Sus scrofa: one gene and its partners. The protein of the gene in region 2 interacts with the protein of the main gene of each other region in a biochemical or structural test. Links are inferred from orthologs where the notes say so. Each region holds a gene or a part of one and is shown on either strand. Other genes may lie near its edges.

Region 1 (5,513 bases), on a different chromosome or scaffold from region 2:
TCCAGTACCAGTAGGGCTATTTAGGCCGAGGGGTAGGGACAGGTGCTGCTGGGCTGGGTCGGAGCCACAGGGCAGGGGTGGGGCAGGGATGAGGGTGCATCAGCTCTTGGGAAATTTGGGTGCAAGCAAAGCCTGCAATGGGACAGTAGAAGGAGGATCGGATCGAGGCGCCCTCCTTGTTTAAGATGGGAGGTGCCAAAGCAAATTTGATTCTGCTAGTGGGAAACATCTAACAAAAGGCGGGGGGCGGGGGGGAGAGATGCGTTGTTGAGAGAAAAATCTGAAGGTTGTGAGAACGGGCAAGATATTCTGGGGGTATAGGGGGAGCTCAGAGCAGATGGATAAGGCTCCTGGTCAGTAGTGAGGCAGGAGGAGGGGAGTGCAGGCCGCCTGGCTGGAGAATCAGTGGGAGACTCAGGTCCCCTCCCTGGTGGGAAGACATGCAGGGAGCGGGGAAGGCACAGAGCAAGCCAAGCTGCCTGGAGCTTAGTGCCACCTGTGCACCCTCCTGCAAGTTCTTAGGGTCAGAGAGTACCTTCGGGTCAGAGAGTACCACCTTGGTCCCAGCCTGACAGCCCCACCCCCTGCCCTCCTAGGACACAATTGTAGATAGAATAGCTCCTCAGGTTCAAATGACTTGGCGTCATTTCTCTTTAAAGTTATATCTGTCCATCTATGGAGGTCTTCAAGGCAAAAACTGGTGTGGGAAGATGGTCCTCAGGATTAAAGGCTCTGATCGGTTGAAAGTAAAATAATGTATCTCTTCCAGGTCTGTGACGCGAAGCTACTATAGAGGTGCAGCAGGGGCGCTCCTGGTCTATGACATTACCAGGTAATGACACCCTCGCCCACCCCACCCCACCCCTGCTGGTGGAAGAGGCCATCTCTCTGCTCTCCCAGGTCCATGCCTCCCTGTGGGCTGCGCCATAAACATCAGCCCCCAGCAGCATGGCCCGCAGGCAGGAAGCCCCTCAGCCCTTTCCACAGGGGTCTTGGAGGTTTTTGAACCAGCCCCTCCACTGCTTTAGCTCGTAAAAAAGTACACAGCTTAGATAGATTAAGCATCCCCATGTTTCACTAAGTTTCTGCATGATGTTCTGGCACTTTGCTTAGGGTTTGCAAAATGAAGCTTTGTCTGTGGTAAATTGTTAGAAGTAATTGGCGTCCGCCAAGCACAGGCTCTCAGCTTGATTGCCTGAGTTCAAATCCCAGTCAGTCACTAGCTATGTGAGTCCTCAGGTGAGGGGCTTTGGTTGTCAGGACTTTAGTTTCCTTGTCTGTTTTAAGGCGTAAGGAGGGCCGTACAGCACTCATGAGCTTTTTGGGCGGTTAGATTGGTTAATAGAAAGCTCTTGGCACATCATAAGGATCTGAGTGCACTGTCCTGTGTGTAGCTATCACCCGGGTATCTCAATTAAGTTTAATTAATTAAATATTCAGTTCCTTGGTCTCACTCTCCCATTTCAAGTGCTCAGAAGTGCTATGTTGAACAGTGCAGGTGGTAGAACTTCCTGTCTTAAAGAAATGCCATCAGATGGTGCTGACCTCAGTGTTTGCCAGCACCACCTATAAACATGTCATCTGAGAGAGTATCACCCTGCTGCTGTGACACACACCCAACCTAGGTCCAGAACAAGGGGCTCTGGCAAAGAGGTGGGCAGCTCCTTGCCAGGCTCTCTGCATCTGCCTGGATGGCAAAGGTTCAGTTTGCTAAAGTGAAGCCACCAGGCACAAAGTGGGCCAGGGGAGGAAATCTGTCCTTAGATATGTGAGGGCTGCAGACAGTTCTGCAGGTGATGGACCTGGTCAGGTCCTGGCTTGACCAATGGCTGCTCGTGTCTCTGGGCTCAGGTTTCTTCTGGAGGAGGAAGATAATAAGAGTCAATGTCATGGAGTCTTCACAGAGAGTCAGTGTGATAAACCCTGTGAAACAAAGCAAAGTATGTTGCAGGGTCCTTGCATGGCAGCAGTTAGCTTAGGTCTTGATCACCCTGTTGTGCATAAAAGCTCAACTACTGTAAAATGAACAAGGGAACTTCTGTTTCCTTTTGCACCCTGATTGGGAAGACCACAAACAGCAAGCTCTCTGACTTGCTGCTCATTTTCCTGGAAACAAAATGAAACACACCCTGTGGCCATGGTGTCTGTGGCTATAGCGTGCACTGGGGCATTCAGGTTACCTCAGTTACCTGTAAGGTTGGTGGTGTTGCCCTTCATGTGTAGAAGTGGTGTGAGTGGTGTGAATGACTGGAAAGAGTTGCTAGCTTTATAAAATACATGTGCTATTTTCACAATCTTATATTACGCAGCCGAGAAACCTACAATGCGCTTACTAATTGGTTAACAGATGCCAGAATGCTAGCGAGTCAGAACATTGTGATCATCCTCTGTGGGAACAAGAAGGACCTGGACGCTGATCGTGAAGTCACTTTCTTAGAAGCCTCCAGATTTGCTCAAGAAAACGGCAAGTGACCTTTTACACATCTATTGGAGTTTTAAGATTGAACCATATTTAGGAAATGCGAAACTTCCTTATAAACCTAAACCTATTTGGCATATTTTTGTCGTGTTACATTCTGCCTACAAAGTTACTGTAATGCTAAAAGTACATTTCGTAGTATTCTGTGATGACATTTCAGTCGAGGATTTTTGAGTATTATAGCTCTTGGTTTAAATGAAATTTGTAACAATAATTTCTAAAACCCCTAATCAGATGATGTCATCTTTTTTTTTAAATGTAACTTGAAGCTAAGTTGGTTACTAAATAGAGAGAGAAGCAATAGAAGAAATACTGGACTTAATTGGCTTTATTTTACTTACAGTAAATTTAAGTCATTTGGCTGTAGATGCTTTTGAAACTTCTCTAAATTTCCATATAGAATACCTGAGGATAACACATAAAATGAATGGTTGCTTAGAGACAGCAGAATGATAAGGAATCAGATGTTTTTAAATAACTTTAATTTTTAGAACTAAAATATCCTGATATCAATTTTCATATGGACTCTAGGACTGCCAAATTATACTGTTGCAAATTAACAAGTTTTCTGCTGAGAAAATAAACATGCACTGAAAACATAAGCCGTGTTGAGTTTATAAAGAAGCTGTTAAGAAGTATGCAAGCTTAGAATGTTAGAGCTTCAAAGGAATTTATTTGTTATTTAAATAAACCTCATTTTTGCAAGCAAGGAAGCCAGTGTCCGGAGAGGTTAGGGTTTGCTCAGGAGAGCGACTTTTCTGCTGGGTGAGATACCAGCTGGTGGATAAGAAGAGCACTCCTTGGAGTTCCCTGGTGGCTCAGCAAGTTAAAGGCCCAGTCTTGTCAGTGCTGTGGTGTGAGTTCCATCCCTGGCCCTGGAACTTCCACATGTCATGGGTGTGGAGGGGGTGGGGGAAGAAGAGCCCACCTTCATACAGGATCCCTTCACTGTCAGGATGGCATACTGCCCGCCCTGTAATCCCCCCCAGGATTGCAGGTTGCGTTTGTGGTCACATAAAGGCTATTGGAAAGGAAATGGCTCCTTTGTCTTATATCAACAGCTGGGCAGTATCAGCCAGCCCACTTCCTTAACCAGCCTCTAGCTAGCTTAGTTTATTTGATTTAAATGCTAGAACAAAATACTAGTTACTTTTCATCAAAAGTTAGAACTCTTCTAATATTTAAAAAAAGTATCTTGACACATATTAATTTTATATTTGCAGAAATACATGGTTTTAAGTAATAAATTACATTTTGCCTGCCATTCTAAGAGAATATTAAACAGGCAGTTATTAATTGAATAATTGCAATTGTCTTCTAAACATGGCTTCGTGTTTTGTTTGATGTCAATTTTAGAGCTGATGTTTTTGGAAACAAGTGCACTAACAGGGGAGAACGTAGAAGAGGCCTTTGTACAGTGTGCAAGAAAAATACTTAACAAAATTGAATCAGGTAAAAAAGGCTTTCCGTTAATAAACTTTTCTTTAGCATATTTTACTCTTTGCCTCAACAGTATCACTTTTCAGTATTTCCAGGAGTGATTTGGTCAAGGGTATTTATTCTCTCTACACCTGCCGACCTTCAGCTGCCACTTGTGGGTTCAAAGGTCTTGTGCACCACCCCTCTTGCCCAGTGGTTTTTTTTGCCCCACTGATGAAAGAGACAAGGGTCAGGGTGTCAGCTGGTGTTTGCTTTTTCGAACCACAGCCTTTTTTGACCCATCATTTAAGGAAGAATGGACCTTTGTCCATCCCTATCAACAGCTTGCTCACTCTGCTGGGCCCGTGGTTTGGGTATCGTGAAGAGTTTATTTCTGAAGCTAACTGAGCAGGTCTCAGTAATCACCTGTCTCATTACTGTTCTATTTGTTGCTTCAGTAAAAATAAATTTTAAATAACCTTAATGTAAGCAGCTGACAAAATAACATGCAGTTAATCATTTATTGAAGTTAATTTTTATTTAAATGTCACCAAAGTTATATGTGGACTTCAGTTTTTCATTGAGTCATTCAACTACCTGTGCCTATTCTTTGTCAGGAGCTGAGACACCAAAGTAAATTAATCACAACCCTTGCCCTCAAGAAACTGTCATGGGAAACAGTCAAAAAATAATTATAATGCAGTGTGGTCGATACAGTACTTGAGACAAGCATGGGATCTGGGCCACAACAAGAAGGGAAACCCACCTATTCAGGAAGTGCTATCAGGAAAGGCTTCCAGGAGGAGTTGGTGACTGAGCTCAGGCTTTTCAGATGTGAGGAGGAAGAGTGAGCAAGGGAGTGAGAAGGAGGGTAGGCTGGCAGAGGGACAGCATGAGTTGAGAATGGGGGGAAGCTAGAGTTACTGGAACAGAAGGACTTCAGCAGGGAATGGCAGGAGACGATGCAGAGGAGAAGCAGCATCCAGGCCAGTCATTGTGGTCTAAGATCTGGAACTTTACCTTGTTACTAAGTCTTCACTGGCTGTGCACCAGAGTCACCTGGGATGCAGGCAGATTTGGATTCCAGGCCCTGCTTCTGGAGATGTGGAAATAAGGCCTAGGCATCCACTCTTTCATGTGATTAATTCTGATATTCATCTGAGATTGAGAACCACTGCTGTGGGGGTGAGAAGCCCTTTGGGGTGGTGAGCAGTGAGTGATATGGTCAGGTTGTGACTGGGGACAGATCACATGTGTAGGTAGCCTTGTCAAGGATAGACTGGAGGGATCACAGGGCTGAAGGCCAGGATGCCAGTTAAAGCATTTTTGAGTGATCCCAAAAAGGTGACTGATTAAAGCTATAAACAGGGATGTGGAAGCAGAGATGAAGAGATACAGATGAATCTAAGAACTATTTGGCGGTGGCACCAGGATTCAGATGCTAAATATCAGTGGTGACAACTCTGAAGAAGTGTGATCATCCAGAGAGCAGTGGGAAGAGCAGTGACCCGGAGCAAAACCCTGGAGACCCTAAAGGATAGAGAGGAGGGGAGATGTTAGAGATGTGTGAAGAGAGCCAGATGTGTCACTCCAGCCCCAATTCCACCAAAGGATC
Region 2 (4,747 bases):
CAGTTTCTCATAAGGAACATCTTTGTTGAAAAACATGGCTTGTTGGAGGAGGAAAAGGGACTAGAACTAGAAACTTTCTTTGGAACCTTCTCTGGATCAGCATCTCCTGGGGGCTTCTTAGGAATGACCAGAACCTCCAGACATAGTCTCATTTTAACAAGACACCCACCCCTGCCAACCAACCCTGGCATTTAAGCTGGCGAAGTACCACCTTGGACCATCTGTCCCTCATTGCTTAGGTGGGGGGAGTTTGCTAAACCAGAAAATGACGGTTCCAAAGTTCAGGTACCTATTCTAGGTCTTAGAAAAACTGTCTTCCACATAGCTAACTATTGGCAGAAGGATCCTTTGTGAGTGCTCGTCGCCCAACATCTTTTAGTATGATTGGGCCATGGGTGTGTGTGTGGCGGGGTCAGGTTGGAAAAAGAAAATAGCACTTTGCTTGGCAGTGGCAGAGCTGTCAGAACAGTCTTGGAGTAAGGAGGTATTATCTTGCTTTTTTATGTGTGCAGATGAGAGCTAAGGCTCAGAAGTGAAGTGACTTGCCTAAGGCTTCCCAGCAAGCTGGAGTCCAAAGTGGGTGCATTGAAAACAAGGTACAGATATCTAATGCTAGACCAGTTAGGGTAGTGCAGTGGTATGTAAACTTTAAGAAAAGCTGGCCCCTGAATGGGGTGCCAAAAAACTGCTCAGATTAAATTAGAAGGAGGGAGGCCCCTTCTGCAGCCCATGTGCCTCCCTAAAAGGGCTTGAAAATCTGCAGCTTTGGTGCTGTACACACAGATCACTGGGATCTAACATGGAAGGTCCACTTCCATGTTTCCAGGCTGTGGGTAAGCCTGCTGGGACAGCCCCTAAAGGAAGAGAGCTAGGGCCTCAAAGACCAGGCTAGAGAACTTGTGGGAGGTACAGATGGGCAGTGAGCAAGGTGTGAGCTAGTTCACTGAGGGTGGAATAGGCTGAGGCCCCACAGATGGGTGGACTGACTTGTCTGACTACATTTTATAGTACTTAGTATAGTCTGCGATCTGGGCATTCAAGGCCATTACCTCGGGTGGGGTGGTGAGCATAGGCTCAGGTGGGCTCCAGCCCTCTGTTCCTAGGCTCTGAACAGTTTTCCATGGCCTATAACAGCACCTGTCCTGTTGGTGAAATTCAAAACGACCCTGACGTTTTGATACCTATAGGTATCTCTGTTATCACCTACATTAATTCCTTATTTTTGAGCTTTGGTGACAGGTACTTCCTCCATGCCTGTTGATGGCTCAACTGGGCAGAGCACAGTCTGTACCCCAGAACCCAGCAGGCTTAACTTCACCTCACACGCAGCTGCTCTCACCAGAGGCCTCTAGTCCTGAAATGTGGGTTGCTCTGGGCATCCTCCAGTGAAGTTGACACATGTTTCTTTTTCTGCACCAGAGTGAAAAATAAATGAATTTATTGCAGGGCTAATGATGGATATTCACAAGAGTGTGGAAATGGCAGATTTCTTGACTTTTGAGAGGACACACTGGGGGGGTGGGTTAGGGATGGGGGAGAGGAAGGAACTGATTATGATTACTTCACTAGTGGGACTGCTGCAAAAACAGGTTAATTGGAAAGTGAAAGGTGACAACAGCAAAATCATGAAGTTCTATTTGAACCAAAGCCAGAGATGGCGAGTGAGAAAAGTTTCAATCCAGAGGAACTGATTCCATACAATTTGGAAAGGGAGGTGTGCAGCTTCCAGTCCCGTGTGCTTTGTTCCCAAGTGTCGGCAGCCCAGGTGAGGAGCTCATCCTTTAATTCTCTTGGGAAACCAACCTCCCAAGCCCCTAGCCACCTGGAGACCCAAAGAGTTTGGCACTGTTGTGGGGCTGCCTACGCCGCTGAAAACGTTGCAACTGGTTCAGAAAGCAGGCCCTGCTGATGCCCCCACCTTAGGAGCCTGTGGAGGAGGAGCAACGTTGAAGGAGCAGGGTGTGGCAGCTGTCACACACACGCACTGGCTTGGGATAGGAGGGCAGGGCCAGCTCATTACTGGAACATGTGTTGCAGAAGATGTGGCCACAGTTTCGGCAGTGGTGCTAGAGGATGGAAGAGAGGCAGTCACAAAATGCTGAGCTCCCTGGGTCTGCAAAGCCCACTCTTTTATTTTTACCAACCTTTAAAAGTCCATTTAATGCTTTAAAATCCCTCCCCAGAGGAACTTAGCCATTTGGAAGGGGTTCTTGTAGACCTCTTGTTTCTATGTTTATGTTCCTGTGAATTAATCCATGGAATGTTGGCGGAGAGGTATACAGTGCTAAGAGTAAGGTTCTTTTTCCCTCTTGTGGTGGGGGGGGCATGGCTGTGGCATATGGAAGTTCCCAGGTCAGGGACTGGACCCATGCCACTGCAGTGACAACGCTGGATCCTTAAACCTGCTGCATCACTAGGGAACTCCCTACAGTTCTTTTTCTTTAAATTGTTTAACTGGACTTGACAACTCCGTCCATGAGTTGGTAGTCTGTGCTACTTAAAGCCTGCCTGGTATATCCCCTGTAATTGCTTTCCATGGTGGTGACCCAAGGTTTATTTAGCTAAGCCCCTCCTGAGAGGGGAGTCTTGGGCACATGGCAGATGCCTGGACAAGTACCCTTGTGGTCCCTACTCCTCCAGGTTCTGCCTCCCATCCCCCCAATCAGGATAGACAGTGGACTTGAACTGGACCACCCAGGTGTGGGATAGCCAGGCCTTGTGGACAAGCGTGATCTCAAAGGCAGCCTCAGGAGGGTTGTTTTCTAGCTCTGAACCTACTCTAAGGCCCTGACAGGGATTTGGGAGTTTTGTTCCCTCTCTTCCACAGGGAGGCTGTTAATGGGGCGGATGAGGACAGGCATCCACATGGTAGTGGCAGGCATTTTTTTTAGCAAAGGCTGTTTGTTTTGTCCCACTGGCTGCATATGGAGGTTCCCAGGCTAGGGGTCGAATCAGAGCTGTTGCTGCCGGCCTATGCCACAGCCACAGCAACACCAGATCCAAGCTGCGTCTGTGACCTACACCACAGTTCACGGCAATGCCGGATCAACCCACTGAGTGAGGCCAGGGATTGGACCCGCAACCTCATAGTTCCTAGTTGGATTCGCCTCCGCTGTGCCACAACGGGAACTCCAGGCTATTTTTTGTGGGGTCTATATCCTGCCCCTGTCCTGCCCATACTGGTCAATCAAGGCCCTGTCAACTGGACCAAAGGCTGGGCCCAGGACCTTATGATCCCAGACCCTGAAGGCAGGCTACACAGGCAGAGGCCGATTCATAGGGGGACAGTGCCCTGCCCAGGATGCCATTGTGCTTTAGGTGCCACCTGGATGCATGTCCTGAGACCTGCTGCCTATAGGTTCCCCATAGACTGTTTTTACCTAATGTGGCCAGAGTTTGGTCCTCTTGCTTATGAAGAATTCTCATTTGATGCACACACCTAGAGAAGTTTGTATGTAAGCAGCCCCCACTCCAAAATCATTGCGAGGACTGTAGTGGAGACAAGGCCTGTGACAAACTGGCTGGGGGGTCATCTGTATGGACCAGCAGACCAGTGAGCATGATCACAATGTGGGGGCCTAGTCCCACAGGCCTCCTCCAGAACCAGAGGAATGGAAGCCCAGACAGGGTAAGCAGGTGGAGGACTACCCCACATACCTTTCTCCGGGAAATGGAGAACTCCTTTTCACACTGCTTACAGTGTGTTGCTTCATCATCTTTCAACCAGGTGTGGCCCTGAGGAGGCAAGAACACCACAGAATCTCAGTTTACGGCTTGGTTCCTAAAGAATTTTTAGTTACTCTTCAGCCCAGCATCTGCTGTCCCTAATTGCACCTGGTTTCCTTCTTAGGGACTGCCTCTTCTCCACTAGAGGGGGCACACAGGACTGCTTCCCTCTGGATCGCACATGCTGCAGACTGCCTGTCCTGGTCTCCGCAGGTTGCCCCCTGGGCCTCAAGCCAGATTCTCCTGCATTCTGTTAACCTGAGACTCACCCACCCCCTTTCAATAAATGCCTTTTGGCTGAGGTAACCAGAATCAATCTGGTGCTTGCAATCCCAGCCTTGGCTGAGACATTATCCAAAGTGCCTCCTGAACTGGTAGGAGAAAGAAATCTGTGACAGGGGTTCCTACCAAGAGACAGAAGGCAACGTGCTGGAGAGGCTGGAAGACCTCCACACACACTGAGCCCCAGGTCCTTGGAGCATTGTGGGAGGCAGATGTCTCCATTCTGCAGAGGAAGCAACTGAGGCTTTGAAAGATGCCTTTTGGAGGTTTACTTAGAGATAAGATTAGGATTTCTTCAGGAGTTCCTGTTGTGGCTCAGCAGAAATGAATCCGTCATGTATCCACAAGGACACGGGTTTGATCGCTGGCCTTGCTCAGTGGGTTAAGGATCTGGCGTTGCCTTGAGCTGTGATGCAGGTCCTGCATTGCTGTGGCTGTGGCATGGGCTGGCAGCTGCAGCTCTGATTCAACCCCTAGCCTAGGAACTTCCATATGCCGTACCTGCGGCCCTAAAAAGAAAAAAAAAAGGATTTATTCAGCCTCAGGGACTGAGGTGGTCAAGGGCTTGGGATACTTTTCTGGTTCCTTAGTATCTGTTAGCCATCACTTTCCTGATAACTCAGAAATCTAATGATTGGGAGTTGCACCACCGTGCCCAGGGCTTTCAACCTGCGTTCCATAGCAGCTCTAGAGTCCTATTTTATGATTTTTACCCTCCCTCTGGCACTGTGAGCTGACA
Region 3 (4,664 bases), on a different chromosome or scaffold from region 2:
CACATGAAACGAAGTTAATGGTGGAAGCCCTTTTAGTTGAAACCATGCATTTCTAAAGTATCTTTATCTGGATTACCACATCTGTTCAGGGGAGAAAGGGGGTCGGGTGGGTTTGCCAGTTGGTGTCAAAAAATATATAGGCAGAATTAATTTATCCCCTGGCCTGTGCCAGTAAAGGCCAAAGCACTGCTACCCAAAGTTGTACACTTTTTTCTTAGAACTTTTCAGAGCTGTCTTTAACTTTGGCCTAACTTCACATGTATAAATGATTCCAAAGTGGATGTGTGTGTAATATTTTGCCTTGAATTTGAAATCACCAAATATGTGTCTTCCAACCCCCACTGCCCCCCATCGTGGATACAGTCATTTGTTACCAGTTGCAACAAACTTAGCCCAGCCTTAGGGATAGTGTAAGGGGAGGACAGTATTTGAAGGTTACAGTTTAGGTTTTCTACCCGAGTTTTTTTTTTTTTTTTTTTTTACCATTGACAGGTCCTTCTTTTGAACATTAATTGCCTTACTTACAGGCTGAAGAAAGTGAACTAGTAGTTTTAAAACTTTCTAAGGGTCTCAGAAACTTGTGAAAATCTGATGAAAGTCACAAACCTTCTCTTTCAGAGAATGTCCTCATTTACAGCATTTTGTACTTAATTTCTTATAGATGCTCTGGAACTTGTCCATGGACCCTTCATAGTCTACTCAGATAAATCATAATCTTTGGCCCAGATCAGATGTATCTCAGGCACACAAAAACAAAACAGGGCTGTTTTTAAATGGCTTCAGAGCGGAGCATGGTTTTTATGTGTTTGTAGGGTTGTTAAAAAAAAAGGTTTAAGAAGTATATGCGAAGAGACCACAAACCTGAAATACATTTTGCTCTTTACAGAAAGTTTGTCTACTTCTGGTCTAAGTAATTGCCGAGATCCCTCTTCATACTAATACCTTCATGAATGCCTTCTGTAGTCCTGTCTGATGGTTAATTGCTAGTTCCTTTTTAGGCCCACATGTTTTTTCCTTCAAGATTTTTTGGATTTCAGAATTTTCATGTTTGATTTAAATGGTTGCGTTTGTTTTAAGATGTGTTTCTTTTGATCACAAACTAGGTAATAATTCTCATAGGAAATAAAGCAGATTTGGAGGCACAAAGAGATGTTACATATGAAGAAGCCAAACAGTTTGCTGAAGAAAATGGTGGGTTTCTTTTAAGACTTTTAATAATGGCTTTTTTAGGTCACACTTGGGAAAATTTCTAAGGATAAGTGGGATTTTGTCAATGCAGATTGACAATTTTTTAAAAATTCAAACTCAAATCTTAGGAATGAGCAAATAACAAAATATGTTTCTATTTGAGATTCATGTAGGGGGCAGTACAATTATTTAATGACAAATATAAAGAATCCCTCCATCTCAAACTTATATAGTCTTTCATAAAATACTGTGGTAGGAGTACTGAAAACTGATGGGAAACTGATTCAGATATTACTCAGGATGTTACTGTCCTTGTGAGTTAATTTGAAATGTCTTTCATAGTCTGAATTTTGTTTTTAGGCTTATTGTTCCTTGAAGCAAGTGCAAAAACGTAAGTATGGCTAAAGTTAGATCATTTTTAATTATATTCAGATTTCTCAAAGTAGGACCATATGTATATAGTGTATATACATATAATATATAAATATGTAATGCTTTATGGCAGGAAAAACAGCAAACATCCCTTTGCTTCCTGTTTCACATTTAAAAATAATAATTTCACGTTACTTTCCCTAAAATAATATACCTTGACTATGCTCATTGGTAATCCAGGTTAATAAATGAAATTAACATTTCAAAAGTGTTTTGACTTTCATAGCCGAGGTTGAATTTGGTATCCCGGACTCAAGGTTTTTCAACCTGTTCATTTAATACTTTTGATCACAGTGAAAAGCACAACTTAATGTCTAAGAATAATTAGAAGCATACTTTCTAGTTGTTTTATGTCCATTATTGAGCCCCAAGATTCTATCATAGTTCTCTATTAAGCCCCAAATTCCCTGCAGTGGTGAGAAGCTAGCCCCCTTTTATTAAGCCTAATCTATACCTGTTAGTCCTAAGAGAACTGAACTGGAGTGTGAACATGGCTAAGCATGCTAAGAACGGTACAGTTGGTGCTTGGCTAATCAGACCCTACAAATCCTAAAATACTTTTCTGCATACATTTGGAGATAATATCATTTCTCTTTAGAACAGCTTCTTTTATTCAAGAAATGGCCTATCTTAATTCTTGTTACACATTTATACATAGCATTTTAATGATTTAGAACACACAGAATTTGTAGAAACAGCTGTTAGTATTGTGCTTATATGCTTTCCATGGAAAATATTTTCCCATGTTATTCTCTTAGCTCAGTCTTGTGGTAATCCCTTATTAGATGACAGTGGCTAAGTTGAAGACACCATGGTAGTTGACTAAAGGTTAGCAGAGGTCATTGTATAAAGTCTCATCTTTCATTGAAAGCTATGTTCCACCAGTAAAGGTGTCGATTGCCTCTTAGGGGAGAGAACGTAGAAGATGCTTTCCTTGAGGCTGCCAAGAAAATCTATCAGAACATTCAGGATGGAAGCTTGGATCTGAATGCTGCCGAGTCTGGTGTACAACACAAACCTTCAGCCCCACAAGGAGGCCGGCTAACCAGTGAACCCCAACCCCAGAGAGAAGGCTGTGGTTGCTAGTGACCTCTTTGCCGTGGCTCTCATTTGACCTTTCACCTCTGTCTGTTGGAAGCAGTACTTTTTACTGCCTCATTGTCTTCTGTACATCTTACTGGGTTTAATTAAAAAGAAAAAAACAACTCTGTTGTAAAAAACAGTTTAACACGATACTAAACTGCTAAACAACTAGATGTAATCAGGTTATCAAAGGCAAGTAGAGTAATAAATCTCTCCTGCATGGTAAATCTAGACTTTTTTTCCCCCTTGATTGTCCTCGTGATAGGTATGTCACCAATACATGATTTAAACTGAGCACTGATGCCGGACTTGATTTTTACCCCTTCCTCTTTTTGGCAAGGCTTTGTCTCATTGTACGGTTTAATTTGATGATGTCTTAAGCCTTTCTTCCCATCTTTAGCTGTTCAAGTATGTCTGTTGTAACCCGTAAGTTTATTGCTGTGAAATGACTTCTGATGATAGAGAAGGGGTTCTTATAACACCTTTTGTTTTTGTTTTTGTTGGATAAATTCCCTGTTGTGTGGGTGGCATTTTTCTTGAGGAGGTTTGCTTCTGTCTTAGCCTTGCACGGGGAAAATATCCATTTATCTTTTCTCTTGTGTTTAATTAATAGCTTTATCTTTTTTTTTTTACACCATTTTATCTTTTCCTCTTTAGCAGAAAGTAAATATGTATAAAATTTGAAGGAACCGAACTAACAATACATTCTGTGTATATTATTTTAATGAAGAAAATAAATTGATTACTGGCATTGGAACAGTATAAAATACCAGTTTGTACAGTATGACCTGTATGTGACCATGTTTCTCCCTTTCATTTCATATAAGGAAATAGACACAACTGCAGTTCACACAATATACTGGCTCCACCCTTTGGTGCTGGCAGTGTTTGGGGACATTATGCTGGAAAGAGCTCCTGGCGTGAGAGGATTAACACTAGCAGATTCTGTTCCATCTTTGCACTGTGGCTTACCTGCTGATTTTCTTAACTGTTCTTGTGCAATCAACAATGTGCTAACCTGCTTTTCTCTTTTTGTAAACGTTTTGCATTACAGGCTGCATTTCTTGCCTTACTGTATAGAAAAAGAAAAAAGGCTGGGTTTATTATTGCACATTTTAAGCTTTTATACCTTTATCTTCCTTGGAATGGTGAGATTCTGAACCAGACAGCCAGAACCGCAGGTCTGCTGTTAAGGGATTTTAAATTGTGCATTTTTTAATACTACAGTGAAATAACTTAAGAGATCCCTTGTGTTCTTAGTATGAGGGGCTATTTTTTGTCATGTTGGCATAAATTGTTTTGTAAAAGGGAAAGTGTTTCTAACGGTGTTTCAATGTTTGTGCTGATATAAAGTAAGTTATTACTTTACACTTCGGTGGTTTGGCCACTGACAGAATACTGTATTGAGCAAGGGAAACAATCTTATTTCTTTAGACAACAAACCTATCTTTTATCACGTTCTGTACTTCTGTTGATTTTTGAGTTTAGGGTTCAGGTTGGGAACTGAGAAGTTATTTGAAGTAGGATAGGTAAACTTCTGTGTATGATATAAAAAATGTACTCCCAGCTCAACTGCTGTGTTCAAAAATACACATTTTAAATCCCTATTTACAGACACTAAAGTAAAAAAATACAGCTTTCTGGGTTGTAAACATGTGGTAGTACCAGAGTATTGTATAGTCAATGTTAATAAAAGCCAAAACTGGAATGTGCAGAAAATAGGATTTGGTTAATTTGTGGACTCATCTTTATGTCTGTCTTTGTTTAACTTTTTGAAAAACAACATACCTGGAGTCAGGTGGTATATTCTGTTAAAGACTTAGACAGTGATCCATTTTGCTTACACTGTTGCATCACAAGGGACTCGCCCAGGGACCATGACCTGCTGGTGTGTGTATATATTTACAAAAACAAAACAAACAAACCACCCATTGGGATATAAGGTAGCAATCACAAACTAA

What was found.
Region 1: the proteins of RUFY1 (region 2) and RAB4A form a complex in vitro, tested with the Homo sapiens proteins (2 studies listed by BioGRID). The link is inferred for Sus scrofa from reciprocal best matches to the Homo sapiens genes RUFY1 and RAB4A.
Region 3: the proteins of RUFY1 (region 2) and RAB14 form a complex in vitro, tested with the Homo sapiens proteins (2 studies listed by BioGRID). The link is inferred for Sus scrofa from reciprocal best matches to the Homo sapiens genes RUFY1 and RAB14.

Annotation. Positions count from the first base shown.
Region 1 is NC_010456.5:60,489,820-60,495,332, reverse strand, and holds part of RAB4A (ras-related protein Rab-4A), read left to right. Parts: intron 1-769; coding exon 770-832; intron 833-2,309; coding exon 2,310-2,464; intron 2,465-3,835; coding exon 3,836-3,931; intron 3,932-5,513. UniProt on the Homo sapiens protein: The small GTPases Rab are key regulators of intracellular membrane trafficking, from the formation of transport vesicles to their fusion with membranes.
Region 2 is NC_010444.4:78,972,960-78,977,706, forward strand, and holds the end of RUFY1 (RUN and FYVE domain-containing protein 1), read right to left. Parts: intron 3,736-4,747; coding exon 3,658-3,735; intron 2,067-3,657; coding exon 1,920-2,066; 3' UTR 1,402-1,919; downstream 1-1,401. UniProt on the Homo sapiens protein: Activating adapter involved in cargo sorting from early/recycling endosomes. Regulates retrieval of proteins from endosomes to the trans-Golgi network through interaction with the dynein-dynactin complex.
Region 3 is NC_010443.5:261,228,868-261,233,531, reverse strand, and holds part of RAB14 (ras-related protein Rab-14), read left to right. Parts: intron 1-1,103; coding exon 1,104-1,191; intron 1,192-1,548; coding exon 1,549-1,579; intron 1,580-2,528; coding exon 2,529-2,706; 3' UTR 2,707-4,664.